Diceros bicornis minor: one gene and its partner. The protein of the gene in region 1 interacts with the protein of each later gene in a biochemical or structural test. Links are inferred from orthologs where the notes say so. Each region holds a gene or a part of one and is shown in the gene's direction. Other genes may lie near its edges. The genes, in order: RNF14 and ubiquitin-conjugating enzyme E2 E2.

Region 1 (15,531 bases):
GGTGCAGGAAGCTCGAGTGCTGAGAATGTTTCCAGAATGCCATCTGGTGGCCAAAGGCAGGGGAAAGGCACAGAGGCAGGGAGGTGTGGGCCTGTGGTTCACAAATATCACAGCTCTAGATGAGTGTGCTATGCAGAAGAGCACAAGGGAATGAGCTACACACGGGTGACAGTCCTTTCTGTTAAGGCTGCCCACCGAAGGAATTATAGAATTCATGATTTTACCTGTGTTAACACTTAATTCTTGAAAGGACATTGTTTTATATATATATATACACACACACACACACACACACACACACACTATATATATATATATATGTTCTGCCTGTGTGTGTGTGTGTGTGTGTGTGTGTGTGTGTGTGTGTACTGCCTTGACTGGAACCATGGATGCAAAAAATGGGCTCACAGGTCATGAGAAAGTTTGAATTTGGATTTCACAGATGGTTTTCACTGTTGTTGTTTGTTTCTTTTATTCACATTGGAGGAATAAAGCTAAGACAACTCTTTAAGAATCCGAAGCCAGCAAAGAAGGCACCAGACTTTTTACAGGCGATTACTTGTGGGAATGAGGTCCCCATTTAGTAATTTTCTCTCCTCCTTTCCGGCTGCAGGGGTCATTTGATCTTTAGCAGCCACATGTTGAGGGGTGAATGGAGCTGTCACTGGAGTTTGTCTGGAGAGCCTTCATCATCCTGAGTTTTGAAAATAGGTTTGAAGTTGCAGAGATACTCTGAAATACGTTTAAAACAGCCGAGGACAGTCTCCCTTAAGTCCAAAATGTATTTTTTTTAAAGGGCAGATTGAGGTTGGTGCTTGGAGGTCTTGCTCAACCTTGGGGTTGTTCACACTTGGGTCCTTGGCTATGGGAAGGGGCTGGGGCTGAGTGGGAGAGATGGGGGTCAGAGGATCTTCTCAAAATGCCTGGAGTCCTGAGGAACCTTGAGGGGTCACACCAGCAGGGTGGGACTCTGGCCCTTGGGAGACTCACAGGCCAGCTGGATGAAGGCTAAGATCATGCCTCACACTACGAATGTCCTGCTGGGCTGGCTGCCCACCCCCATGGCTCCTCATGAATCTGCCCAGCAGCTGCCACAGTCACCACCACCAAGGCAGCTTTGATGAAGCTGGGAAGCTTCATCTTCAGAATCATTCTGATTGAGAAGGTGACTGGACCACCCAAGGTCAGCCTCTTGTTTTTCAACAGGATATTGTTGAAGTTAGAGCCAGTCTGGCCAGGAATCTTGACTGGGAGACTCAGGTAGATGTTCTGGGTCATCTGCTCCTGGCATGGCACTTTGTTGGGATAGATGACAGAGGTCCACTCCCACACAATGTCTCCTCCTTCTGAGCCCAGTACAGAAAGAAGAATGCACTCTGCAGGGGGAAATTTGCCAAGAAATAGGACTTTTCAAGAAATGAAAAGGCTTTGTATCTTGCTTAAGAGTGGTAGCTCTCAAAATGGGCCAGATATCAGAATCACTTGGAAAGCTTTTCAAAATACCATGAACAGGGCGAGAAAAATCATACTTTTCCCTTTCCCAGCCTGCCAAAGGGAATTTCATAATTGCCAGCTCCATTTCTCCCCCTTTCAAAAAGCCTTCATCTTTCAGATCATTTGGGACAGGGATTGGGGAAGTTGATTGGACCTTTTTGCTGGAAAAAGAAGCTTAATTCATCTACATAATAAAAGGAAAAATAGATAGGGGAGAGGAACTGCTGAAAGTTCAGGAAATTATGGAGGGAGTGCTAAAGAACAGCAGGGGCTGGGAAGGAAGTAGGTTGAAGATAAGGACTTTCGAATGAATGGTTGTAACTATGGATCTCCTTCGCTTTTCAAGAAAAATGCTAGAAAATATTTAGAATTTATTTTGTGCTTTAGTAACCACATCAGGGCCCCAAAACTGGACTACATAAATTCTGAGTTGATAAGGGTTACTCATATATTATGCCTCTCTCCCCAACCCCCAGAGGAGAAGTAGGCTACTTCCAGAATGTAGATTTCAGTTTTGATATTCTGTAAGTCATTCTGACATGCACCCCATCTCCACCCCAACTTGCTGAGAACCACTGAGTTACAACGTCTTAGAAGCACCAGCAACTTTGTAAGGACCAAACTCTATAGCCATCAGGCCTTTCTTACTGAGCATCCTCCTGGTCCCTACTTTCCCCTGCGCCTGTGTCACTGCTCAGCAGAAGCTCTGTGCACACCTGGTCCCCCCTCCATACTTCTGCAGACTCTTCTGTCTGCTTCTCTGATTCCTCCTTTGGTTTTTCTTCCTTCTGACTCCCAGATGTGGGCCTGTCCCCAAGATACTGTCCTCAGCCCTCTTTTCTACATAGGGTTATTAGCCCAGAAATAGGTTGCCAGATTTAGCGAATAAAAATATAGGGCATGCAGTTAAATTTGAATTTCAGATAACCAATGGAAATTTTTTTAGTATAAGTATTTTTATCTGGCAAGCCTATTCAGAAGTAATGTATGCTCTCAACACAAGTTTCTTTTCTGTTTTCTTCTTTTTTTCGTTTTTGGTTTACACAGTGAATTTGAAAATCCATCAGCAAACACAAAAATCAAACATATTGACTGGGAGCATCATCTGTGCATGAATATTCAGAAGCTGACTATGTTGATTGGCCTTGTTATGTATTCATCATTTCTGGGTGACTCCAGAATTGAACTGTTCTCACACTGAAAGAACCACCCCGGAGGAAGCCGGGATCCCACTCATTCATTAATTTAGTCAGTCATCTTGTCATTCATTTATTTGGTGGAATTCAGCATGTTCTCTATTTACAAGGTCAATTTTTTTTTGGCAAGGGAAGTAGCTGAAGTTGACCCACATTTTCCCATCCTCTAAACCATTGGTTTGGTTTTCTTTCTTCACATGGAATCTAATGAACCTAATTCTCACCTTGCTTCAGAAAGGTTCTTGCAGGAAGGAGAATGAGTCTTCCCATCGTTACATAAATTCTCATGGGGCTTCCCTTCAGAAGTTTATGACAGCCAGGAGTTGAGCCTGGAGCTCAGGAGAAACAGCCACACACTGATTTATGATGGCAGCTGCTGCTAAATCTCACCCCTCTTTCCTTCTTACAGAGCCATGTTACCTTGGGGTTACAAAACTCTTTCCACTGTTATTCAGGGGAATAATAATAAAATGCCAGGTTGCAAGTATAAACATGATCATTCTGTGCCTATTATTGTAAATCAAATTTTACCTTGCATCAGAAGCACAGAAAACATTTTGTACTATCAGCCGTCTCAAGCCTTTTTAGGAATCTGTTTTTCTATAAACCTGGGATGGCCTAAGGTATTGTTTGCACTGCACTGACCAGGGAAGCTGATCGCGCAGGTGATCTGGCTATTTATCTTTACACACTCAACTGACCATTCTCCCTGAGCAAAGTGTTAACTTGATGTAAGCAAAGCATTGGAGTTAATGATGTGGGCTCAGGACTCCAATGGCCTGGGTTTAAAGTTTGGCTCTGAAATTTACCATCTGTGTGACAGTGGCAAGTCACTTAACTTCTCTGTGATCAGTTTCCTTAGCTTTAAAATAGGGATGCTGCTGCTGCTAGTACCTATGCCATAGGGTTGCTGTAAGGTTTAGCTTAGTCAATACACAGCATCTAGAGCAGGGCCTGGGATGTGGGTAGCACTCAGTGTTAGTTCTTGATAACCGTGCTTTTAGTGTAGTAGCTCCCAATTTCTTTTTTAGAATGAAGCCCCCATTTTAGAGAAAAACCAATTTTTCAGATTCCCGTGTGATGATAGTAAACCTTTTCGGGTCTACATGTTGAGCAAATACACAATGACAAGACACCAGTGGGAATTCAGTGATACTTCTATAGTATTGGGGTGGGGCTCACCACTTTCCAGTCTTATCCCAGAGTTGGGACAGGGCTTTCCCCTCCACACTGATGCCCCTCTGTGTGTCAAGGCTTGTTTCAGGGGTGCTTGTGAGTGGTGGCCATTGAAAAGGAGGCTGCCCCCACTGAGCAGGTGGGATGAGCTCAGCAAAGTTTCTGGACATCCATTGGACGCCAGCAACGGATGGGAAGAAGCGTAGGCACTGACGGAAGGCTTGCCAGTCCCTACAGTCACTACACATATTTTGTGACTCACTCTTGCTTCTCAACCCAATGGACTGGGTCCTGACCTCAGGTCTAGGTCACACATGCCACCCTCTCCTAGCCCTAGACTCCATCATCTAGTGTCCCTGGGGACAGGCAACTGATTTGGGTCTCTTTCTCTCTCTCTGTATGCTCATTCTCGCCTATCATTATGTCATAAACTTTATTCCTAACTTCCCTAGGGCTTTCTCTTTTAATTCTTAAGGCCAGAACTATTTTGTTCTCTCTGTATTTGTTACAACAAACTCTAATTCTCTTACAGGCTACAGGAGAGGGTCACACTGATGAGGAAATGGTCTTAATCCTGTCTGTCACCACTGTATGACACGGGTCAGATCACTTCTCCTCTTAGTGCCCCAATTTGCTCATCTGTAAAATGGGGATACAAAATTACCTCAGTCATGGGGTCCTGGGTATTCAAATGAGACAATGCATGTAAAGTTCTTAACACAGTAGAAGGCTGGGCACATGGGGAAAGCTCAATTTAAAAGACCATTCGGGCACACGATGGGGCCGGCCTGGTGGCGCATTGGTTAAGTGCGCACGCTCCGCTTTGGCGTCCTGAAGTCTCGCTGGTTCAGACCCTGGGCCCGCACCAACGCACCGCTCATCAAGCCATGCTGTGGCGGCATCCCATATAAAGTAGAGGAAGATGGGCACGGATGTTAGCCCAGGGCCCATCTTCCTCGGCAAAAAGAGGACGATTGGCATCAGATGTTAGCTCAGGGCGGGTCTTCCTCACAAAAAAAACAAAAAGACTATTCAGGCACGTGAAACCAAAGACATGAAAGTCTGTTATTTTTATGTAGTCAAAAAAATAAAAATTATTAGAAAACTCTCTTTATCCAATCCTGACCTCAAAACTTGTCTCTAAATATTGAGTCCGATTTGAACATTCATCCAAACTATTACCATTGCTTTGAAAGTCTCTCTTCTTTGCCCTCCATCCTGTGGCATCTGATATGAGGTCACGACATGATGTCACAATTCACCTCCTGCTCTGATTCTGTGAGAATTTCCCGAGCTAACTCTTAGGCTCCTCACTTTTTGCATCGGAAGGTCTCTGGCAGGACTCACGGTCTCACCTCTGAGCACTCTGAGGTAGGGCTGCCAGGCGTTTTGCTCTTGGTTTTATTTCTTTTGGCTAAACAAGAATAATGATATTAGTGAATGGCTTCAGAGATTCTTCTTCCTTCCTTTGCATTTTTAAGGAGTATGTTTCTGGTTTTGGTATCTATTACAGGGGTAGCTAGGTTTCTGTTCTGTGACAGTACAGAAAATTAGGAATGATTATTTATTTGCATTTCAAGGTTTTCCCTCTGTGGCAGCCAGGTAAGCACCTCTAGTGCCTCAGTTTACCCACTTGGTTTTTCTTATCTCCTGGGTGCAGGACCAGCTACATAATTTGCAGACCCCAGTGCAAAATGAAAACTCAGAGCCTCTTGTTCGAAAAGTATGAAGAATTTCAAGATGGCCATAGCAGAGCATTAAACCAAGAGCAGGGTCCTTCTAAGCCTGAAGCCCTCCTGAGCACAGGGTCCTGTGTGACTGCACAGGTGGCTGGCCCATGAAGCCAGTCCTGCCTGGGAGGCACTGGTGGTGAAAACTTTTAGAATCCTGTAGGCTTGGATTAGAGCCCTAGCTCCGCAGGTTGCTTTCCTGTGGGGAGAAGTATATGATAAGAAGGACACAGGAGCTTATTAGATCATTAGGGGCACATTAGTTTGAAGGTTCCCAGAAGCAGGAACCAACATTTCAGCATCCCGCTTAAGTGTTGAGAACAGTGCTTTGTACCTAAATTTTTTTTGAGATATAATTCACATATGATAAAATTCACCCTTTAAAAGTGTACAAGCCAGTGGTTTCTAGTATATTCACAAAATTGTGCAACCATCACCACTATTTAATACCACATTATTTCCATCCCTTAAAAGAAACTCCACACCTATTAGCAGTTACTTCCCATGCTCTCCTGCCTCAGCCTCTGGCTGTCTACTTTCTGTCCCTACGGATTTGTCTATTCTGGACATTTCATACAAATGGAATTATACAATATGTGGCCTTTTGTGTCTGACTTCTTTCACTTAGCATAACGTTTTCAAGGTCCATCCATGTTGTAGCATGCATCAATACTTCATTCCTTTTTATAGCTGAATAATATTCCACTGTATGGGTATTCCACATTTTGTTTATCCATTTATCCATTGATGGACGTTTGAGTTGTTTCCACCTTTTGGCTATTGTGAATATTGCTGCTTTGGTGTACATTTAGGTACACTATACATAAATAAATATATACAAATGTAAATATATACAAATGTACTTGTACATTTGTGTACAAGTTTTTGTTCAAACATATGTTTTCAATTCTTTTGGGTATGTACCTAGGAGTAGAATTGCTGGATCTTATTGTATCTCTATGTTTAACTTTTCGAGGAACTGTCAAACTGTCTTCCAAAGTGGCTACACCATTTTATATTCCCAGCGGTAGATGAGGGTTCCAATTTCTCCACAGCCTCACCAACATTTGTTATTATCTGTCTTTTATTATGGCCATCCTAGTGAGTGTGAAGTGGTTTCTCATTGTGGTTTAGATTTGCATTTCCCTGATGACTAAAGATGTTGAGCATCTTTTAATGTTCTTACTGACCTTGTATATCTCTTTTGGAGAAATGTCTATTCAGATCCTTTGCCCATTTTTAAATTGGGTTGTCTTTTTATTGTTGAGTTGCAGGAGTTCTTTATATATTTTGAATATTAGACCCTTGTCAGATACATGACTTGCAAATATTTTCTCCTGTTCTGTGAGTTGTCTTTTCACTTTCTTGATAGTGTCCTTTGAAGCACAAAATTTCTGATTTTGATGAATCCAATTTATCTTTTTTTTTTTTTTTTGCTGCTTATGCTTTTGGTGTGGTACCTAAGAAACTATTACCTAACCCAAGTTCACAAAGATTTACTTCTACATTTTCTTCTAAGAGCTTTATAGTTTTAGCTCTTACATTTAGGTCTTTGATCCATCTTGACTAATTTTTTGTATATGGCATGAGGTAGGGGGCATGTAATTTTAATTCCTGCTCAGCCTCTCAATAATCATGTGCCCTTCAGTAAGTTCTTGAACCTCTCTAAATTTCAACGTCCTCATTTGTAAAGTGGGGATAATAAATAGTATCTAAATCGTAAGGTTATAGTGAAGATAAAGAGAAAATGTACATAAAGCACTTAGCAAAGTGTTTGAAGCATCCTAACTGCTCCATAAACGTGGTAGTTATTACTATTACAGTATGAACAATGAGTGAATGCTTTCCTAGTGGAGGTGTCAGAAAGATGAGCAGCATTTCTGAGAAGGTAGTTGGGATGGCGGGAGGGAGAGGAGGCTTGCTTAGCCTACGTGGAGGAGCAGGTCTGGATTGTTAGGGGAGTGTCTGCCCCAGGTAGACCGCTGCCTCACGATCACCTCCAGGGATTGGTAAAAGTTCTAATTCCCGGGCCCTATCCCAAAACTACTGAAAGGAGGCCCCTGGGCACGGGGACCCAGAATCTGCATATGCATCAACTTCTCCAGAGGCATACTAAGACATGCAGGCAGCGGTGGGGGTGACGGTGGTCGCGCCCGCGGCGCCGCCTCGGCCAGCAGGGGGCGACCAAGGGACGGGGGCGGTCACGGCGGCTGCGCAGAGCCCTCCGATCCGCCCCGTTCAGCTGACAGCTCCGAAGGCGGAAGAGGCGGCGCGCAGGTGGAGCCGGGTGTCTGCAGGCTGGGCCAGAGTGGCGGTGAGGGAACCTGGGGCAAGGGCGGAACTTTCGGGCCCGGCACGGCCTAGTGGCCGGAAGGTACGGTGGGGACCGCGCTCCGGGCGCTCGAGGCAGAGAAGGGCGGCCGGGCCGGGACTGCTCCGTGGGCCTCAGCTCCCCAAACCCGGGACGGGGAGCCCCCAGCCCGGCCCGGCCGAGGTCCGCCGGGGCGCTCGGAGGAGGAAGGAGAAGGTCCAGGCCCTGCTCCTTCGGGACGCCCGGGGCCGCCCCTCGCGGCCGCACAGCGCCCTCTGTCCCAGCGCCGGGCAGGTTGCGAGGCTTGGGCCTGCCCCCCGGTTGTAGGTGAGTCGCACAAACAACGACTCGGCCCGCGGGGTGGCGAGCAGTGGAGACACCGGCGGCAGTGCGGATCCCGAAGCCACGGCTGACTCCGAGGCTGAAGTCCGAAGGGTGTGCCTTGGGGGCATGAGTAGGATTTTTCCCAGGCCGGAGGGAGACCCGGCGGAGGAGGGGCTTCCCTCACTCGGGTAGCGGTTTCCGGTTTGCCAGAACTGATATTAAACTTAATATCTCTCGTCCAATGGCGCCGGGTTTATTCTAGTTCCTGTGTTACAGATGAAGAAACAGGGTGGTCTGAATCCAGCTTTAGTTAAATATTAGCTGGGTGACCTTGGGCCAGAAAGGGAGTTAAATTGTCATTTCTCATCGGTGTCATGGAAGTAGTAATACGACTTGCTTCCTGGGGTTGTGGGACTCGAACAGGAGTTAATGCATTTAAAGGGCTTAGCACAATGCCTGACACACGGTAAGAGCTCACTGTTACTGTTCGTGCTGTTATTGTGACGACCGACGTCTCCTGCTTCTAGTGGGATGTAGCAGAGCAGCAACTGAACCTTGTAATTCTGGTCCCCCATTTCAGCACACTGCATCTCACCCCAAAAATTAGAAATAAGTTCTCATTTTTTCCAGTGTCTAATGCAAGGCAGTGCTAGATGCTGAGAACAATACACAGATGCAAAAGACTTGATCCTCGCCCTTAAGGAACTAATGTAGTCTGGAAGGAGAGGAAGTACAAGTTCTTAAACTACTGTAATGCGAGGTGGGATGTGAATGTCATAGGAAAGTTACAGTAAAAAAGTTTGTGGGATGTTTAGAGAAAAACGAGGTCTAATTGGAAATTTCTACAAGGAATAGGGGCTTTGGAGGTGGGTCTTGAAGGCTGAGTGGATAGAATCAGAAGGAAATGTAGGTCAGCATCATGAATTAAGGGGTTGGGACCCAGTGGCAGCTTCAGAAGCTGGGGTCTGGTGGGGTAGGGCATGAGGAGCTGTTGACGGGAAACACTGCTGGAGTAGAGCTTGTCAATCCTGGCGGTGCTTTAGAATCACCTGGAGAGCTTGGATAGGTGCTGATGCTTGATTTCATTGCTCTAAAGTACAGCCTGGGTATTGAAATTTTAAAAAGCAGCTCCTCAGGTGATTCTAATGTGCAGACAAGATGGAGAACACTAACCTCCAGAAACTTTATAAATTCATCTCTCACCCCACTTATGAATGTTTAAACAGGAAGAAACAAAAAGCTTGTGTTATCACCATGTACTATGCCTGGTAAGATTGTTAAGATTAAATAAGGTAATGTGAAAGGACCTAAATACAGTACATAGTAGGTGCTCAATAAATGTAAATTGAGTCTGTATTTCATTCTTAGCTCATTTGGGAGTCACACATCTGGGAATCTGGTTTAAAAATTATGGTTTCACATAATATTTTTGCATACAATTTCAGGGTGTTCATAGGATTCTCCATAACCCATCTATGGACCACCCACCCCATCCCCCTCACTCCCAGTGAAGAAGCCTGCCTCTAAAGCCTTTAGAATAGAACTTAAAAGTTTGTGTGTGTGTTGTGCAAGTGCTTTTGTTGTTTTGTTTTGTTTTGAAGTATACTGCTAATAGGCGAGAGGGAAAACTGGAGGGGGATAGGAAATGAAGGAGTAGAAGAAGCAGAAGAGGAAAGGAGGAAAAAAACAACCCAAGATGATGTTTGTTTTGGGGCACAGTGTGCTGTCCTCTCATATGAGCTTGGTGTTCCTCCTAAGCTCCTCCCAGGGCTGAAGGCAGTCAGATAAGAAGGCCTCTCATTGCTGGGGACCTGCAGATGCCTCTATAACCACGTGGCTCAGTTGGGCTGTCCTAGGACAGTAATATGCAGCTGTAGATTAGCATTGACTGTGTGTTAGGATGTGTTTAAGTGTGATAATGGAAATTCAGAATTTAAATTTGGAGAGGGTCCTAACACCATCTTTTGTATTTTTTTTCTGCAGATGGCAAGATTTCTATAGTATATCTAGTATGAGTTCCACATCTTGGCCTCTTATCCACCTTCAGCAATCTCATCTCCACCGCCTGGAGAATAAATGGGATTTCCATGAATTCCAAATTCTGAACTGAAATACAGACTACAGTGTTAATATCCTTTTCTTCTAGTTGTTATTAACAGGTACTAACTGACCTCGAATAGAACCTGTCACTGTGTTCTATTTGGGATAGGGATGCAGCTTAAGCTGAACCATTATCATCTGCTGACAAAAATTGTTTTTTGAAAATGGAATCATTTTAAATGAATTTGTCTAAATTTTGTAGTGTCACCTTTTATAATGTGAAAAACTGTGTCCTAACTTTTCAATTTTACACATTTCAATTAAAAAAAATATTTTAGTCAAGTGGGAGCATATTTGCAAGTGCAATTATAGCCCAATATTTTAATTGACAGAGTGGTAATTTTTTGTTGTTGTTTTATTAAAGTAATTTTTTATAGATTCTCATTACATATTTTTTCCATATTTAAATTATCTGAAATTACAGTGCATCTTTCAGTTGCTGTGATTAAAAAGCACTGATTCAGGGCCAGCCCCGTGGCGTAGTGGTTAAGTTCCCATGCTCTGCTTTGGTGGCCTGGGGTTCACGGGTTCAGATCCCAGGCACGGACATACACACCTCTCATCAAGCCATGCTGTGGCAGTGTCCTACATACAAAATAGAGGAGGATTGGCACAGATATTAGCTCAGGGACAATCTTCCTCACCAAAAAAAAAAAAAAAGCATTGATTCACACTTTAATTGTAGCATATTTTTATTCTTAGCATTCCCCAAAATAACGGTAAATCTTAAAATTGATTTGATAAAATCCGGTGGTATTTCAAAAATTTAATGTTATTTTGCTGCTTCCTCCGTAGTCTAACTGTCTTAAATAGTATCTGTCCCTGTAACATTCTCTAGAACAGGGTGTTCTCAATGGGGAGCAATTTTATGTCCCCCCACCTCCACCCCATGAGGGAGGGGAGATTTGGCTATGTCTGGAGATATTATTGATTGTCACAACTCTTGAGGGAAAGATACCCTATTGGCATCTAGTAGGTTGAAGCCAGGGATGCTGTTACATATACTAAAATGCACAAGACAGCCTCCCACAACAAAGAATTGTTTGTTCCAAAATGTCAGTAGTGCTGAGGTAGAGAAAACCTGCCCTAGAGATTCCTGTGGATTTTTAAAATTCATTTGTTTTTAAGAAGTGTATCAAATATACTTTCACTCCTTTTGTGGGCAAGGCACTTTGCTAGGTTTAGTGGGCAAGTCAAAGTAATATGTGATTTGTCCTGTTTTTAAAAAATGTTTTTAATTTTGCTTTTTTTCCCCTAAACAGCTATACCTAACTGCTCAAGTCAGCAATTAGAAGCACCACAACCATCCTTTTTGAAAAAGCTGTTACTATTGCAAAGCTACTGTAATATTAGATATGCCTGTCATTTTTAGTTTAGCAGAAAAGTGAGAATATTGATTAATCCTTTGTAGTTGTTTGTGAGGAAAAATTTTTTTCTTTTTTGGTGCCACTAGACTTTTCCAAACTGTGCCTTTTCTGTTCTTAACTGATTGAAATGATTGTCTTCAGCTCCTCAGAAAGTTAAATGTCGTCAGAAGACCGAGAAGCTCAGGAGGATGAATTGCTGGCCCTGGCGAGTATTTATGATGGAGATGAATTTAGAAAAGCAGAATCTGTCCAAGGTGGAGAAACCAGGATCTATTTGGACTTGCCACAAAATTTCAAGATATTTGTGAGCGGTTAGTTAATAATATTCTCTTAAACAGATTTTTCTAAATAAAGGTTATTCTCAATTTCTTAGTGTATGCTAAATTATTTGTCATCTTGTGTTTATATGCATTAGTGATAGATGGTAGTATTACAGATTTAATGCATGTTTCTGTTTTAATTGAAAATTGGACTGGGGGATAAACAGTTTTCAGTATGATTTGGCTTTTTGACCACTGAATTTGGATATTATCCTGCATATTTCATGCATCCTAATCGTCTTCTAACTAGCAGTTCATTAGCCATGAGTCATTGGCTATTAAATAGGGATAATAAAAGAGAAAACGAAATAATATATGTGAAAACACTTGGAAAGCTTTCAAGTACCGTGGTGGTTGTTAATAGTATTTGGTTTCCAGAATCATTTCAGCTACCACAAACACATAACGTGCTGTTACTCTGTGACCTTTTCCTTCAGAAAAAAACAAAAAACTGCCACTTTTGATACAAATGTTCACAGAAGACTGATGCACACTTTCTCAAAATGTTTCTGCTATAAAGGCATTGAGTAAGGAAAGTAAGTGTGATCATTTAAAATGAAACTTTGATTTTGAAAGTGTTGTGTGTTGTATCTTGCCCTCAATCCTGAGATCATTGTGTTGACACAGATTCTCCCAGCTATGATTCATGGGTAGTTGGCACATACTGGTCTAAGTAGGTCATGGCACTTTGATAGAAATAAACATCCTTTTCTCTGGATTGTGTCTTTAATCATCTACTATAAAACAACAACAACAGAAAACATTGTGTATTACTTGCTCATTAGTGTTAGGAATTGTACTCAAAAGTGTATACAAAGGTAAGTTGTGTATCTTCATTATAAATTTCATGGTGCTTAGTAGATTTTTCAAAGGCTTACAAGATTTTTTTTAAGCTGGTGGCTACAAAATTAAAATTAGAGAATAGAAAGGGCTTTGGGGGAGGGTTTTTATCCCCTCAACTAAAGCATTAAGTCTCTCTTGAGCACTGCTCAACAGTAATGGACACTCAAGTGTTGACCAGCTGATCCTTTCTCATCTTTGTTTTTGGTTCAGGCAATTCAAATGAGTGTCTCCCGAATAGTGGCTTTGAATACACCATTTGCTTTCTGCCTCCACTTGTGCTGAACTTTGAACTGCCACCAGATTATCCATCCTCCTCCCCACCTTCATTCACACTTAGTGGCAAATGGCTGTCACCAACTCAGGTTAGACCCGAAACTAATTTCTCCTATCCATTTTTAAAAACTTAAAAAATCATCTTTAATTGAAGACTAGCTTGGTGATCTTGAATTCAGTGCATGAAGAACAAATTGCTTTGATTTTGTAATTTTTTTCCCTTCATGAATCCTAATGTTAATGAATTGAAAATGTGTTTTAGAAAGGAATGGCAATAATTAGAATGATTAATCATTATGAATTGCAGTAGGAGTAATTTTTAATCAAGTATATTGTTTCTTACCATTTTCCCATTTAATCTGTATTATAATGGAGACTATAGGGTCGTCCTCATTTTTCTTAGATGTTGGTATTACTTTTTTTTCCTTAGTTTCTTATCCATTCCTCAAGTGAAAGATTTAATTGTAATTAGGAGGACTAAAATTGAGCTAATGTGGTTATAATAATTTCCTAAGTAAAATACAATTTTTAAGTAAACATAATAAGTGCTTTTATTTTTAAAGATCTGTATATGTTAATAACAGTAACTGTTGACTGGTCTTACACAGATATAAATGCACACAATAGAAATATGTGTGATTCTTGTAGATATCTCATGAAAGCTTGAGACCTTATATTATAAACCGTCATTTCCTCCGAGTTATATATTCTTTTCTAGTAACAACCTCAACTCTTGATTGAGACATAAATATAACTTGAATATAAATTATTATTCTGCAATAGATAATGGATCAATAGTAGCTGCTTTCCAGGAAGTCATGATGAAGATTGATAGGCTGATGTATATTAAGACAAAAGCTGTCAGTTACTTGACCTCAAGGAACAGCTTGTCAGTTTTTCCTTTTTGATCATGTAGTTTTCATTCTCCTCCCCCAGTCCAGTAATTTAGATGAGAGTGCTTTTGTAAAATTGAGCTTATGATTTAAAAACAAAATTAAACTTTAAAAGAGGATAATACAAGTAGAGTAAAAAGGAATATTACCTTACATTCTAATATCTGTGCCAGAGGCAAGACATACAAGATAGTGCATTATTTGCCCAAAATTATCAAGGCTGCTTGACATTTAGATCATCGAGAGTTGCCTGAATTATTTAGATATTTATAGTCCCCTTTCTCCAGAGAGCTGTTGATACTTTATGTCCATGGATATGTGCAAACACACACATACATGCACAAAACAAAGACGGATTAACTGGGTGTGTGGTTGCAGTTTCAGATTCCAGGCAAATAGCATCTACTTACTGCTAGCTTTTGGGGGGTATGAGGAGAGGAGAGGTGTTTATTATTTTATGTGTTACATTTCATCATTTGTGAAATTACAGTAGGATTCTTTATCAAATAAATTTGTGTACATATAATTGACATTTTAATTGGTCTTTTATGTTCCTTCTTGGTTCAATTCTCGTTTGTTGCTGGGCCCTGAGTCCTTGGCATTATGAATTTCACCTGTTGATGATAAAGTTGCTACATGGACCTGTCTTTCACTGAATTGGGATTGGTAGATAGAAGGGAAGTGGGTTTAGTTTTCTAGTATTTTCCATTATTTCTCCCCCAATATATATACATACACAGTCTCTCTCTTGCTCTTTTCCTCTTTCTCTTTCCCCTTCGCTCACATTTATGTGCATCCCAGCTGCCTCTTTTGAAAAGGGGCTGGAGAAGAAAAGAGGGAGGAGAATGACTTTTTCATTGGACTTCATGGCTCAAACAGCACTCAGAACTTCCATTTTAGTATTTATTACATTTTACAGATTTCAGCAGGTTTCTCAGAAGCATGGTTGATCTTATCAGCATATTCATGCAAGTGTGAAAAAGGTGTCCAGTCTTGAACTGTTTAACACAATAAGTGTTTAAGTTTGTGTCCATGTAGGATTTAGTGAACAGTACTATGCAGAGCAAGGGGCAGAAAAGGTGGTCTTTTTTCACTTATTTAAAATTTACAAAATTTGTTGGCCTCTGGAAGGCTTATTTTTTATATTTACCTAAAAAGAAAAGCTGCTTATAATTCCTGAGCTCTACTTACAAATATTTTACATTTCTAGTGGAAAATCTTCTTATATTTGTCTTTCAAATTGAACAGACCACTTTTAAGGAGGAAAAGTTGCAATAGTTTAAACTTTGGTTGCTTAGCTTAGGAAATATGAGCTTTCCCTGTGGCTGCCAAACCACGTTGAAGGTTTGTAATCATGACCAGATTCAATGTCAGCCTGTCTCCATTGACCAGGATCTGGTCTAAGCCCAGATTGCTTGTTAAGCCCAGCTTCTAAATGTGAATAATAAGGACTCTGAGGTTGGATTCTGTTAGTGATTCTTTCCCATGAATTGGCTTTTTGATA
Region 2 (15,491 bases), on another chromosome or scaffold:
ATTCCTGGGATAGAGAGAGCAGGTAACAAATAGCTTCCTTCTGCTCTCAGCTAAGCCGACTTCCCCTAGAACACTGTGTTCAGTTCTTGACTGAACATAGACATATTTTAAGAGAAACATAGACAAATTAGAGTGTATTTGGAAGAGAGTGACTTAAATGGTGAGGGACCACAAACCTGTGTCACATGAGGGACAAATGAAGAAAAGGGGGATATTTGCTTCAGGGAAGAGACAACTTATGGGGCATGTTAGCCATTTTTAAATAATGAAAGAGCTTTCTGGCAGAACAGCTATTAGCATTATTCTGTAGCCCCAAAAACATAATGAGAAAAGATTGGGAGACAATTTAGGGGTGAAGAAAGTCCAAAGATGGAATCGGCTATCAGGAGAGGTAGGAGGTTCCCTCACTAGAGATATTCGAGCAAATTATTTTGAAAGAATTCTAAATCAGATAGTGGTCAGATTGGACACGCTGCAAAATCATTTCCACTGTTGCCAAGAGCTTTGAACTCCTTCGGAGTCCCCTGTACCATCGCCTCTGGGAGTCCCCAGGTATGCTCCCACATGTGCTCATAATACAGCCCATTCTTTTATTCTGGGTCCTGTAAGTGATAAGATTTCCTGAAGCCTATGCAAACCCAGAGGTAATTTGACATCTACCGCTGATGGCCCCAAATAGCTCAGTGCCAATGCCTCCCTGGGCAAGAGTTGCCCCTCGATGTCAAGCTACCATACAGCCGACCCTAGTTCCACTGTACTGTCAACTCCCTCAACACGGCAATACCTGACTTCCTCCCTTTTTTGTGTTATACTGTGCAATTGTTGTTAAGCCAGGACCCCACAATGTCAAATAGATTTTATGGGCAAACAGCTGTTAGTTCTGAGTCATAGACTTTCTTCCCCCTGGACTTCACTAAAAGTCTACAGGGGCCGAGTTGGAATAATCAGGGAGCAACAGATTTTATGTCTTGCTTAAACTTGCATTTATCCAGGGTGATGTGCTCATTGATCTTAAGCAAATTTTCTAGGTCTCCAATCTCTTTTTTCCTTAGGGTCAGTTCTTCTTGGGACACTCTTTGGTCCCTCATTTAAACATCCCTGCTCCTCCCTAAGGGCTTGCTCTATGACCTTCCTACATACCTGACATTCTGAATCTTGGGTTGAGACAGATTAGACTTAAGCTGTGGCCTTGTCTTCTTTCCTTTCCTCTATCTGTCCTCACCCTATATGATTCTATGACTGAGGGGTGAGAGCAGAAAATGAGGAAAATAAAGATAACAGATGAAAAATGTTTCATGGAAGGGGAAGGGAAAAGAACTATGTGGCGTGGATGGCTTAATAAAAATTTTCAAGCGAATTAAGAAAATTCAGTACAACGTTTATATGAATAAATAGTGTGACTGAAAGAAATAGTCCTATAACTTAGCAGTAACAATGTGACTGGTCATCCTCCATAAGATTTCACTGATGAAATCTAGTCTATACATCAGAAAAAAAAATATCTAGCAGCTTACTGATAGTATTTGCAAAACAATTTTTATTACTCATTCAATGCTAATTATAAATTTTGAGAGTCAAATTGAGAATAAATTATATACACATTATATAAAGATATTGACACACACACATCATCTGTATCAATTAGTACTCTCCAACTCATGAGTTAAGAAGCAGCTTGTGAGTGTCGTTGGCAAAGTGACGCTGAGGACAGATGGAGGAGAGAGCGTAAGTCTGCCCTTCACTCTGAACAAGCAGAGAGAGAACACTATTTAGCTCTTCCATCTGAACTTTCCTTAGAGGTGCACAACTTCTTAGGGATGTAGTTTTGGAACATGTTAGGTGAAAAAAGAAGCCAACTCTTTGAATTCTTATGTCTTCTTCAGAGCCTCCTTCAGTGGGCCTCTTTCTCTTACCTTTAAAAGAGAGAAATGATAGGAATTAATAAGAAACCTAATACTCTACTCATTCGAACTTTAAACCTCTGAAGAAGAACTCAGGCATTTGTTTTGATTCTCTGAGGCCAGTCTAACGAAAGTTGGGCACAGCATCGGATTGAATGTATCAACTATTAAGCAAATGCAAATGAAAGAATTAGGGGCAGGATATCAGCTATAATCAAAAGCACAAAGCTTAAGGGCCAGCCCGGTGGCAAAGCGGTTAAGTGCACGTGCTCCGCTGCTGGCGGCCCGGGTTTGGATCCTGGGCGTGCACTGACACACTGCTTGTCAAGCCATGCTGTGGTGGCATCCCATATAAAGTAGAGGAAGATGGGCACGGATGTTAGCCCAGAGCCAGTCTTCCTTAGCAAAAAGAGGAGGACTGGCAGATGTTAGCTAAGGGCTGATCTTCCTCACACACACACAAAAAAGCACAAAGCTTATTTATTTTTTTTGTGAGGAAGATCAGCCCTCAGCTAACATCCATGTCAATCCTCCTCTTTTTGCTGAGGAAGACTGGCTCTGAGCTAAGATCTATTGCCAATCCTCCTCCTTTTTTTCCCCCAAAGCCCCAGTAGATAGTTGTATGTCATAGTTACACATCCTTCTAGTTGCTATATGTGGGATGCGGCCTCAGCATGGCCGGAGAAGCCTGCGTCGGTGTGCGCCTGGGATCCGAACCCGGGCCGCCAGTAGTGGAGTGGGCACACTTAACTGCTAAGCCACGGGGCCAGCCCTAAAAAAGCACAAAGCTTATAACCTAGGTTAAAGTGGAGACGGTGAGCAATAGCATGAGTGAAGGAGGTCATCCAAGTTAGCAAGTCCAAGGCAGATGGACGAACACAAGTCTAGTGTCAAACTATATTCATGAATGTGGAGTTCTGATGACAAAGAGGCAAAGGGAGTGTGCAGCTATGGAGATGCAGGGCTTGGATCACTCTTCAAGAAAGAACTTGCCTATCAGATGTGAGGAGATCAATTAGCAGACAGCTTCCAGCTACAAATGCCTTCAGGACCCATCTTACCTTTTGAGCCAAGGACATGCTCTTCCTGGGGAGTCTCAACAAATGACTAAGTATGACGGACGCACTAGGATCTGGCCATTTCTGCCCAATGTGGGACCGCTTTAGGGGCAGTCTTTGCACTGGAGCTTTTTGTTAGGCTGGACAAGACTGCACTAGAGCTGTGCTGCCATCTGAGGCTCTTCCTACTCAATCCTCCTTCATTCCTCTCTCCTTTCACAGGTGTCAAACCTGCATTGTAGCCTGAAGGATTTCCCTGCCTACTCCTGCTCCCCTTTCCTTTTTTCTTTCATAGATACATAGATAAATCTCTTGCACTTCTAACTTCATCTTGGTGTCTGCATCCTGGAAGACTCAACTGATACAGGGGAGATGCCAGTGTCCCAGGACACAACCTGAATAGGGCCAGACTAGTAAGATAAATCACCAACTGGGGGCCTTGACACTTGGCTTCTCTGATGATGCTACCTTTTCATTTGACCCTGGTGTGACTACTAATCCCAGGGAGCCCAAACAAATTGTTTACCTACAGGGTCCTCACAGTAAGCCCCGGTCAACAGAAAAATATAACAGAATAGATAGAAAGTGAAGTAGAGCAGAAGAGTCTTTATTCTTCTCCATTCACAAAAATTGTGCCCTCCCACGAATATGCAAATATACTAAAAACGTTTGAATTACACATTTTAAATTGGTGAATTGTATGGTCAGTGAATTATATCTTGATAAAGGTATATTAAAAAATTGTGCATTTCCAAGTACAGAAGGGAGTACTAAGATGACTGGAGAGAAAAATAAAAGCAGTAAGATAAAGACAACAAATAGTATCTTTTTTCATTGTGGCCATATATAAGGAGATTTCACAATTTTTCTTCATGGAATCTTCAGAGAGGGCCAGAGGGTTCATAAAGCTCTGGAAAATATTCATTAATATATTTCCTGAATTTATAAGAAAGAGTAAAGAGTATTCTTTGAAACGGTTTTGAAATGAACGACATGGAACAATTACACCTACCTCCCAAAGTTCCATAATTTGGGGAAATAGCAGTTGAAAAGCAGGGATATTCGTTAATTTGACCAACCCTTATGGGGTGCCTACTCTTTAAATTGTAGACACACAGATAAATAAGCTTGGTCTCTGCCCTTGAGTATCTCACAGCAAACTAGGGGACATATGCTTTTAAATAGTACAGGATGCAGGAGACATGCTGCTGTGACTGACCGGGAGACTATGTGCAAGAAAAAGTGGCAAACTCAGGTGAGATAAAACCCAGACTTGAGGGTGACATGACCTCCCACTTATCAAAGCACTAGGAAGACTAGTAGCTCACACTTCTATGACATTCGTTTTATTTCAAGCTCTAAGTTGCTTACATATATTAACTCATTTAATCTTCTCTCTTCCCTTATGTAAGTATTAGCCATTAAAATAAGCCTCATTAGTAGACAAGGAATCTGAGTCAGTGAGAAGTTAAGTAACTTGTCCATGATCACAGCAAGGAAGAAGCAGAGCCAGGATTATGAATCGAGATAGCCCAGTTCTGAAGCATCTTTGTACCGCCTAAGAAAGGTGTAAATTAGGGCAAGACTTTCCCTCCTTTTGACTTTGTTTGTTTCCTTCTGAGGTTCCCTAAGTTTAAAATATCTTTATTTATTGTACTAATAACAATATAACAACTATAACAAAGAAAACCTTACCTACAATCTCATTGCTCAGCAAAGCTCTGACTCTTACATGTCATTACTCTTTCCTCTGTTCTGACAGTCTTTTTCAGAGCAGATTCTTCCTTTCTTACTTCTATTGTGTCTAAAGATGACGCCTCTGAACCACTTCTGTTTTTTTCCATTCCTGGCCTACGCTCTCTCTTCAGACCCTTTACCCATATCTCAGCATCTACTGAAGCCCCTCTGTATTTCTGGGAAGTTGGTTGCAATAGCCCATTTCAGTATGAGTGGGACTCCTTGCCTGTAGGAACTACCACAGCAGTAGCATCCCTGATATGTAGCCGCCTGGAGGAGGGAACTTCATCATTAGAGAGCAGAAAGCACGTGTATTCATTATCAATTGCTGCATAACAAATTACCCTCAAACCTTAGTGGCTGAAAACAACAAACATTTTTATCTCAAGGTTCAAGAGTGGCTTAGCTGGGTGTTTGTGGCTCAGGGTCTTTCATGAAGTTGCACTGCAGATGTTGAGCAGGGTTGCATCATCTGAAGGCTTGGCTAAAGCAGAAGGATCTGAGCCTGAGCTCACTCACGTGGATGTCAGTGGGAGACTTGTTTCTAGCCACATGGGCCTCTCTGTAGGGCTGCTCACAATACGGCAGCTAGCTTCTCCCAGAGTGAATGATGAGAGAGAGAGAGAGAGAGTAAGAGAGAGAATGAGAGCCAACAACCAAGATGGAAGCCCTAATGTCTCTTATAAACTAATCTCGGAAGTGATGTACTATCACTTTTCAGCATTCTACCAACCCTGGTATGATGTGGAAGGGTACTACACAAGAGTGTGAATACCAGGGGGCAGGGATCACTGGGGCCATCTTAGAGACTGACTACCATGCTTGGGCAGGGGCTAGGGGTGGGAGAAGCAGCCAAACTTCTGTGTTTGCATCTTAATTTATGTGAATGGTGCCCCCTGACATTTTGCAGTGTGCAACATATACAATCGTGGCTCAGGTGGCAGTCCCTGACCAAGTGGGGAAGTCAGGGGGATTTGTCCCCAGCACTCTTCCACTCCCTGTTAGGAATTCATCCATTTATTCATTTATGCAACAAACATTTGTCCAACACCTGGTGCATGCCTCTGTGTTGGTATTATGCTAAGTAACGAGGTCCTAGGGTCTAAGCTTTAATGGAGCTTCACTTTTGCCACATCAGTGTTGTCCTTCTTAAGTATCCAAGACATTCAGAGTGACCACGGGGTGCCTATAGCCCCTTTCAAACCAGGCTGTAAGCAAAAGATGATTCTCTTCCATCCCATTCTCTCAGGGTCCTAATCTTTGGTAAACTTAAGCTAATATGATATTTCTTCCAGGGGGTACAATCCAAATATTTAACAACCCCTGATTACTGGGTGCCTAATAAGAATGGAAGCTGCCTAAACAAGCAACAGCTCTGCCAGTATGATGCGTTTTGCTGAAATCCAGCAGTTACTCCCAGACAGGTCTTTTCTATCACTCTTCTAGTCAAACTGGAAAACTAATTGTGACTCTATCTACTCATGAAGTTGGCAGTAACGAAAGTTATAAGAAGGGCCCTCCAAAAAACATTCCCATTTGCCAATTCTAGTGGAAAAAAGGTAGGCTCTAAATTAAAGCCCAGAAATAAGAAGTGTAGGAGAGAGTGAGTTCATGATGACAGATTGATGGACCAGGGCAGGAAATACAAGGAAGGTGAGCTACTTGTTTTGGAGACCAAGTTTGAGTCTCAGGGGAAAGGAACTGAGAAAATCAAGTAAAATCTATGTTTGTAACACTGGACTCATGTTAAAGTGTCCTGAAGTTCACAGACTCCAGAGTCTAACTGCTGATTTCAAATCCCAGCTCTGTTATTCCCTAGCTGTATGACTGCGGCCTAGTGACTGAATTTCTCTGCACCTCAGTGATCTCATCTGTACAGTAGGGTTGACTGAATAAAACCAACCTTATGGGGTATTTGTGAGCTAATTTATGTAAAGTGCTGGAACTTAGTCTGGTACAAATTAAGAACACAGTAAGTGCTAATTACTGTTATTGAAGAAATCAGAACAATGTCTAACATGCCATCAACTGAAAGAGGTCAATTTCATTCACTTAACCAGTATTCATTCAATATATACAACAATGAACCCCAGCCAACAAAATCCTTGTTCTCAAGGTGCTTATATGTGGAGGAGGTGGGAGGGAGGAGGAGGGGAGAAGGGGAAGACTAAAATAAATAAGTAAAAAAAACACTATGTCAGATTTATTATGATGATCATGAAGAAAAATAAAGCAGAAGAGGGGGATAGGAAGTGCTGGGCGAGGGGTAGGAGGGAAGAATGTTCTAGAGATAGGAAATTATAAATCTTGAGGCCAAGGAATATTTGATGTGTTCCATAATAGCAAGGAGGCTAGTGTGGCTGGAGGGAGATGAGGATGGGGTGAAGTTGTACAATGTGAGGCAGAGAGGTCTTGGTTGGGGGTGGCAGGCAGATCATATAGGGCCATGCAGCCATTGTAAGAACTCTGGCTGTTGCTCTAGGATGGGAAGCCACTGGAGGTTTTGAGAAGAGAAGAGACCTATGTTTTAAAGGATCACTCAGATTGTCATGTGTGGGGATGGGGGGTGTGGTGGTAGGGGGAGTGGATAGGGAAAGTAGAAAGACCAGGTAGGAGGCTATTATTGAAAGATGATGGTGGCTTGGACCAGATTAGCTATGGGAAGGGAGGTGGGAAGAAGCAGATACTTTCAGGATATATTTTTGAAGGCAGAGTCAACAGGATTTGCTGATGAATTGGATGTAGCTTGTAAAACAAAGAGCAGGGTCAAAGATAGGGAAGCTCTGTGAGGACAGGGATTTTTCTCTTTAATGTCATATCCCAACCACCTAGACAGCACCTGGTACTCAATAAATATTCCGTGAATCAATGAAAAGGGTAACTCTGATTTGTAGTATACCCTTCTTAAACTTAGTAAGTAGTATACAGCAGTTAAAACATCTACAGGTAAATGAAGTACTGTAGCAACCAGTTTCAGCATTTAAGCAGGGAAACCTCCTCCAATCCTTCCATAAAGTTGGAAGCTGACATTGCTGCATTCCTGGCCCCCAGCTACCAATGACCAGGACTAAAAAACAACTTTGATACTTTCTGTAATAGAAGAGAATTTTGTTATAAAATACTAATTGTAAACAAACAAAAACCAACTGGATATATACCTAAGAGTATACATAAGAGTAGTTTATTTGGAGAAAAGCATAGAGACTTAGGAAATGAGGATTCTGTCATCCACCCTCACCAAACAGTTGCAAAACACACTGAAACATAATCAGTAAAATGAAAATATTAATATATAAAGGTTTCATGCGATAAATTATGCACACATTTAAGGCAGTCTATGAAATGCTCTAGTTTGGTCATATTCTAAAAATTAAAAAGCAAACATATAAGATGCATTTTATGTCATCTTTTCCTACTAATATATTGCACTACATGAGAGATATAGGTGACTATCTAATTGATGATAATCCTAGGATATGGTAATTTCTATTCCTCCAATATATATTTTAGAGTTTAAAGGTAACACGGCCTGTTGATATCCTTGAGTGATACATAGAAGTGATACACAAGAAAACATCCACTTTTTGCTCAATGGTGATTAATGGAGGCTAGAAACCAACACCTGCTTTTGGCAATTTTCAGGGATGTTATAAAGTAATAGTCAATTTTTGTAGACGGCATTTGGTAAAAGGATCTTCACGTCTAGACATATGAATGGATCTTGACTTGCTCCTGTCCTCTGGGGTCTTATTGCACTATCTTTAGCTGCCTGAGTTGCTCTGGGCTCTGTGGGGCTGTCTTCAGTTCCGTCTGGGCAGGACACCTTCTCCACATACAGTAACAGCTCCTGAGTTTTTATATAGTAGAGGTTTAGGAGCAGCAGTAGCAGTCACTTGGTAAGAGGGGCTGGGTTGGAGACGGAGGAGGGGAAATTATGTGGAAGCTGAGTTTGTATAGCAGGCATAATGTTTTGTTTTTTAATGGTTACTTGGGGTGAAGATTATAGGGGAACCTAATGTTCCCTCGGGTCACCCACAGCACTGCTGTTTCCATACCCTTCAACCGGGCAGTAAGGCAAATTCCCACTCGCTCTGATACTGCTGCTACCCCCTCCCCCCACCTCTCTCCCCAGTATCCCAGCGATAAAGGGCCTGGAGCTCCAGCTCCCGGCTACTAGTGTACATTCTGGGTCAGGGCAAGCCAAAAGGCAGCAAGACATTCGTGTTGCCGTGTCAGGTGAAGAGTCTGGCTCAGCCTGGAGAGCTTTCCAGGCCAATGCGAAGTTTTCCCATCTTGGGTGCATGTGGGCACCACGCGTCGAGTTTTGGTTAGTATGTCAACAGGGTCAGACCCTGTCCCTGTAGCTGCTTCGGGAAAGCTGTGAGGCAAGTGTGAGGCCAAGGGCCGCAGTAGATGGGGGTAATACGCCGTCCCCTGCTTGGTCTTAGGGCAACACCCACCCCCAGCCAGCATTTCCCTTTAATGCGCGTGCCCGTCAAGGTCCCCGCGTCCCCTCCCCTCAAGCTGCCCCGTCAGTCTCTGTTTCCCTCACCTCTCCCGGTCCCTGCCGTTCTTTCTCCGTGGGATGCTCCGCGCCCCCCCGCGCCCGCTCTCGGGACTCGGCTGTCACTTTACTTTTCCGCGCCTCCTCCCCGCCCCCTCGCCCGGCCGGCGGGGCAGCCCGCCCGTGCGCGCGCCCGCCCCCGCCCCCTCGCGGCCGCGCGCGGGGAGGGGGAGGGGCGGAGCGGGTGGGGGGGCAGGGAGGCGCGCGGCGCGGCACGGCCGACGTGGGGCTCGCGCTCTCGCGGTCTCTCCCGAGCGGGCGCGCGCGCGGACGGCCGGGCGGCGGCAGCGGCTCACGGAGGCGGTGGCTTCACTTTCCAGGACTGAGGGGCGGCCACACCGGCAGCCGCGAGCAGCAGCCTCGGGAGCCGGAGCTGGAACGGCCGGGGGCGGCGGCGGCGGCGCTGAGGGTGAGTCCGGGCGGGCGCGAGCGCGGCGGGGACAGGCGTGGCCGGGCGGTCCGGTGCGTGGTGCGTGGGTCCGGCTCTCGGTGACTAGACGGTCTGCGGGGGCACCCCGTCTTCTGGGCTTCCTCAGCCGCCCTCCCCCCGCCTCCGCAGCCCTCTCTCCGCGCACTTGGGCTCGAGCCCGCGACCTGCGCGGACGCCCCTCCCTCAGGTATTCGCCCGGGCCGCGCTGGTGCCCGCCCTCGGGCGTCCTCCCTGTCGCGGGCGCGCCCCCCACCTCCCCTCCACGTCGCAGGTCTCTGCTTACACTGCTTGCGCCCTAGTTACCTCCCTCCCCGCTCCCCCGCGTACCCCATTCCCTGCGCCCCCTCCCACGAGCCTCCTGCCCCGGTTTCTCGCCCTTTCCACCCCTCCCCCTCCTTCCCATCCACCCCCTTCTGCCTCTTCCCTCCCTGCCCATCTTCTACCCCCTTCCGTTCTCAGTTCCCCATCCTCCGCCACCCTCCCAGCCCTTTCCCTCTCCCAGCCGCATTCTGGAACTAAGTCTTCGCAAAAGTACAGGATAAATGTCACGGTGGAAAGTGCCCGGCTTGATCTTTTGCTATTTTCCCTAATTGCATAATTGCTGCACATGGTGTCTCTCCTGGCGAGTGCCGGGTCTGGCTATCCCGCCGCCGCTGCACCGCCGTGGGCCGCCTGGAGGAGACCCTGTGGGGTGTGTTTGTGTATGCCCTGGTGTGGAGTGTGTGTTCTGTTTGTCTTTTGTGAAGCCTAGCGCTTGTCACAGTTTGGAGCTGAAGCCCATTTTTCTCTGGTCTCTTCTCTGCAGCCCCCACTGGCCTGGTTTGAAACTGGATTCCCTCTGTCACCCCCCCCCGCCCCCCCTCCAGGTCTCATAATGTTTTGATCCTTTTGCCCTTTACCATTTCTAATGAAGATAAAGCGTAGCTTCTTGTGGCTTTTTTTCCCCACGACCAACCAGAAATGTCCAATCCATCTTCCCTTAAGGAAATTAAGGCCGCTTTAGAAAGACATCATCCTGTGCTCCGTGGCTGTTAGACCTATTTGCATGTTTTCAAGATTCGTGGTTTTGTGTTGTGTATTCTTGAGAGTCTACGCAAATATTTTTATTTAAAAGTACGAAAGGAAGTGCTAGGTTTACCTTCAGATTATCTCGTGCTTAGTTTTTTATCCCTGATTCTTTAAAAAGTATGTTTCTGAATATGTAATAATTCAGTCTGGACCTTGGAATCTAAATATTTGTGTTTACTCAGTTTGGATGCGCCTTGGTTCTTTAGAGTTTTGTATGTGGGCTGATGCTGATGATGGAGTGTTTCCATGTATTGTCGTACCCCATTCTAATTCCTCCAGGACATAGCACCTTTTCCTCAAAAATTGGGTGTTTCACTGTTACTTCCTGCATAAATATCTTTACAGTTAAGAGCTTAATATTGCTAGATGTTGTGCATATAATATAAATTATTTTATTTTCCGTTTTAGAAAAGTTTAGAAACGTAAGAAGACAAATAGGAAGATATCAAATGACAGAATTAAGCGTTTTCCTGTTGTAAAAGCTCAAATGAACACTTGCTTTTGCAGTTTTATACCATGAGATACAGATTTAAGGCTTATCTCGACTGTAATTCAGATTTATGGAGTGACTATAGTTGGTTTTATGTTATCAGTAATATTTATAACCAAATTATTTTTATGGAACATGTGAGTTTCATTCACTATGTATATGTTGCTAATTTCCAGGACTGTACTTAGAACATAGAGTATATAGCTAATATAGCCTTAGATAATTTGTGTGTTGAAGAAGGAACAATATCTAAATACTTAAAATAACACATGTTTGAGGTAAGTCTACCTTACTGTTTTATGTTTAGAAACCAAGTTTTACTTTGAGTCTAAAGTAAAAATATAAATTTAAATATCTTAATATCTTTGAAACTGTCATAATCGAAGTGTAGCTCTATGTTTATAACCCTGGGATTTAAGTTTATCTTCCCTCTAGCTTGCATGATTGGATCAAATTAGCTATTTAGAAATTAAAGATAATTTTAAAATACTGATTTTTAAAATACTGATTTAGGAGATAACATTTAAGGAGTTTTAATTCAGGAATTTTTATTCATTTGTACTTTAGAAAGACAAAACACCAATTTTATACTTATAACTAATTAAAATGCTCCTAGACTACTTTTTTCTTCATAAACATTAGTTGCCAACTGAGTGGTGCAATAGTTTTTTTCTCATACTTTTTTCTGTAGTTAGGCATTCAAAAAACAAAACTAGAAGAAATTTGCCTTAATCTTGATATTTGAAAAAAATATGAAAACTTTGTTTCTAAAAGTTTCTATAGTGGTTATTAGTGGCCTCAGATGAATTTATCATCTATAAGTTAAGATTTGGATGAAATAAAGTATCTTAGATCAAAAGTGGAAATAGATTTTTTTCTTTGTTGTGAAACTGTAGAAATTATACCTTTATTTGGGTATTTTTAATAGTATTTTTAATAGTTTTGTAGTGAGACTAATTTTAGTCTGATATTCTGGAGCAGTTGATGAAATTTGGGTTTCACATTATGGCTCACATTACATCATTGAGTAGTCCTTTAAGTAATTATACACTCATGGCAGTATTAGTATGTAAGTGATAAGAATATTAAGAATGTGTAGCTTTATAACTAATGTGATATACAACTGAAACTCTAGGCAGTTTATTAAACTGAAGCCCCAGCTTTAGTAACAAAGAATTTTATTTCATTTAGATTTCCATATATTTGTCGTGTAATGTATTGCTTCTGGTTTAAGATGTATAAAATAATTTCTCACTTATTTCACGTTTCTTAAAATATTGCCGGCAGCATTTTGCTATATCAGAGGGCCTTTCCCTGAGAATTGTTCTTTTTCTCACTCCCATGCGCATCTGTTCTTTCTAACATGCTCTTATGTGCATACTTATAAGGCTTTAAACTTCTGATATATTTTATCTGAAAGAAGTAAGCTGAAGAAAAAATCAGTGTTAAATCCAAAGATGAGAATTAAAGTGAAATAAAAATGAAAAAAAAGCAAGAAATATGTTAGAACTGTTAGAGTTAGATGTGAAACATACTGATATAAAATTTCAGTATTCTATTAAGTGACTTTAGTGCTCATAAAAGATGTCACAGCTGTGGAGACTGATGCTCTCCATTTGCAGGATAGGTAGAAAAGCAGTCAGATTTTCCTGTCAGTGTGTTTCAGAATTGCTTGGGCAGAGCTATTTTTGTTTGGCATGGGGGAAGGGAGCTGTTGGGGTTGAGAGGGGTGGTGGTGGTGTGTTTGGGTGATGTCTCATTGAAGGCATTTGGTATTTTCTATTGACTCTTCCCCTTTCTGTGCTTCCTGATTCTTCCCTTCCCTTGCAATGCTTTTTGGTTTGTCTTACATAAAAATTTCAATCTATTACAGGTCTGTATTATGAAATCGCTTTGATTTAGAGCAAGGTACAAGTTAAATCTTTGGTGATGACGAATTTTCATTATTGTCAAGTAGCTATACGTTTGGACTAATTACAGTAATAAAAAACAGTGCTTTATTTGAGGTATCTTTCTTTTACATATTCTTACTCTTGATCATAGCAAATACAGTTTTATTTCAAGTCTTAATTTGATTAAGAGTAATATAGTATCTTTTTCAAAAGGAATTTATTCCATTTATCTATGATTTTTAAAGATATATTTTGTGTTGTTAATGTCACTTCTTAAAGGTAGTTTTGTTTTTTAATGAAGAGGAACCTGAGATCATCGCTATACGGTGCTCAAAGAGGTTATTAGGTGACAGTAACGTGGTGAGCACAAGGCCCTTTAGAATCTGGGTTTTGTCAGTTTGGTTTTGGATTTGTCAGTACACTTTAAGCTAGTTGGATCATAAGGGCTGTGTTCATAGTAATCAAACTCAGAAATCGGTTATGATAGAATGACAGTTAAGAGGGGATATCCTTTTTCACTTACTTTAATTTTTTGTGTCTGCTCTCTAGGTTTTTACAGCTACCTATGTATCAAGGTATTGAGGAAATTGAGTTTGTAATCAGAGCTGCTTGGGGAGCATGAACTCAGAGCAAAGGGAGTTTGAAAGCCTTAAGGGATATTTCATCCAGACTGTGGGAAGGAAAAAAAAAAGAATCTTTCAGTGTCTCAATACAGTCTCCATCTCGTGTGAAACATGGTTGTTTGGTATATTGCTGGATCAATGCTGACACCATCATACAGTTCAGTTTTTATTTAGAATCATGCGGGCCTCTGTGTTCTTCTGTTATCACAAAGGATACTTAAAACAGTTGACTAGTATTTAGAGGATTTTAACCTTAGCTCTGTCCTGAGGGTTTATTCATTGGATATGGATGTGAAAGTGTCTCCCATTTCTCTGTCCTTGTGGCTGTTTTTGCTAACCTCTGTTAGAGCACTTAGCACAGTTGGCTTACCCACTAGACCAAGTTTCTCATGCTTGTGGGACCAAAGGGCCTACCTCAGTGTCTGGTAGGGCGTAAGCCCTCAATTTTTTTTTGTTGAGAAAGCTTTATTGACATGTAATTTATATACTATAAAATTCACCCTTGGAAAGTGTGTAACTCAATGGTTTCTAGAATATTCAGAGTTGTGCAAAACATCACCATTATCTAATTTAAGAACATTTTCATCACCCCAAAACGAAACTCTATACCTATGAACAGGCCTTGCCCGTTCTTCCCTCACTCTTAGCCCTTGGCAACCACTTATTCACTTTTCTTTCTCTGGATTTGCCTATTCTGGACATTTCATGTAAATGGAATCGTACAGTTTGTGGTCCTTTGTGACTGCCTAGTTTTACTTAGCATAATGTTTTCAAAGTTCAACCTTGTTGTAGCATGTAGATACTGTACTTCATTCTTGTATATGGCTGAATGATATTCCATTGTGTGGATACATCATCTGTTAGTGAACATTTGAGTTGTTTCTTCTTTTTGGCTCTATGAATAATGTTGCTGTGAACGTTCTGTCTATATATTTTGTATGTTTTCATTTCTCCTCTCAGTACATTTTGAATGGATGAAAGAAAAGTTTTGACAACTTACAAAGCTGTTTTGTAAATGATAAACTTATTCATTTTATATTAGCTTTACTTGTTCCACTTTGAGGCTCACTTTCTCTATATTCTCAAGGTACCTTATTATAGTCCTCCCATAACTGAATAAATGATTTTTGATTCTTTAATCCAGGATCTAAAATGTCCACTGAGGCACAAAGAGTTGATGACAGTCCAAGTACTAGTGGAGGAAGTTCTGATGGAGACCAACGTGAAAGTGTTCAGCAAGAACCAGAAAGAGAGCAAGTTCAGCCCAAGAAAAAGGAGGGAAAAATATCCAGCAAAACAGCTGCTAAATTGTCAACTAGTGCTAAAAGGTACCTTAATTATTGTAACCTTTTTATTTGTAGTATCACTTTATTGTCTTAAGTTCTGTCTTTCTGTTGCATTTACTCATTTTTCTGGTATGTGGACCATGAAGTTCATGGATTTTTCTTTCTCCTTCAATATTAATTCTTTTACATGGTTTTAATTGTAGGCAATATGAACTTTTTGGTATTTAAAATCAGTTAAACAGCGTGGCAGCCAGCCTTCGTGGTCTAGTGGTTAAGATTCGGCGTTCTCACCGCCAGGGGCGAGGTTCATTTCCTAGTCAGGGAGCCACGATCTGTTGGTTGTCATACTGTGGCGGCTGCGTGTTGCTGTGATGCTGAAAGCTATGCCACTGGTATTTCAAATACCAGCAGGGTCACCAATAGTGGACAGGTTTCAGCGGCG

The links.
Region 2: the proteins of RNF14 (region 1) and ubiquitin-conjugating enzyme E2 E2 form a complex in vitro, tested with the Homo sapiens proteins (2 studies listed by BioGRID). The link is inferred for Diceros bicornis minor from reciprocal best matches to the Homo sapiens genes RNF14 and UBE2E2.

The regions. Positions count from the first base shown.
Region 1 is NC_080740.1:60,073,800-60,089,330, forward strand, and holds the start of RNF14 (E3 ubiquitin-protein ligase RNF14), read left to right. Parts: upstream 1-7,875; 5' UTR 7,876-7,910; exon of another isoform or gene 7,911-7,970; intron 7,971-7,977; exon of another isoform or gene 7,978-8,234; intron 8,235-10,214; 5' UTR 10,215-10,390; intron 10,391-11,839; 5' UTR 11,840-11,855; coding exon 11,856-12,009; intron 12,010-13,071; coding exon 13,072-13,223; intron 13,224-15,531. UniProt on the Homo sapiens protein: E3 ubiquitin-protein ligase that plays a key role in the RNF14-RNF25 translation quality control pathway, a pathway that takes place when a ribosome has stalled during translation, and which promotes ubiquitination and degradation of translation factors on stalled ribosomes.
Region 2 is NC_080741.1:28,439,183-28,454,673, forward strand, and holds the start of ubiquitin-conjugating enzyme E2 E2, read left to right. Parts: upstream 1-9,588; 5' UTR 9,589-9,669; intron 9,670-10,316; exon of another isoform or gene 10,317-10,381; intron 10,382-14,907; 5' UTR 14,908-14,915; coding exon 14,916-15,091; intron 15,092-15,491.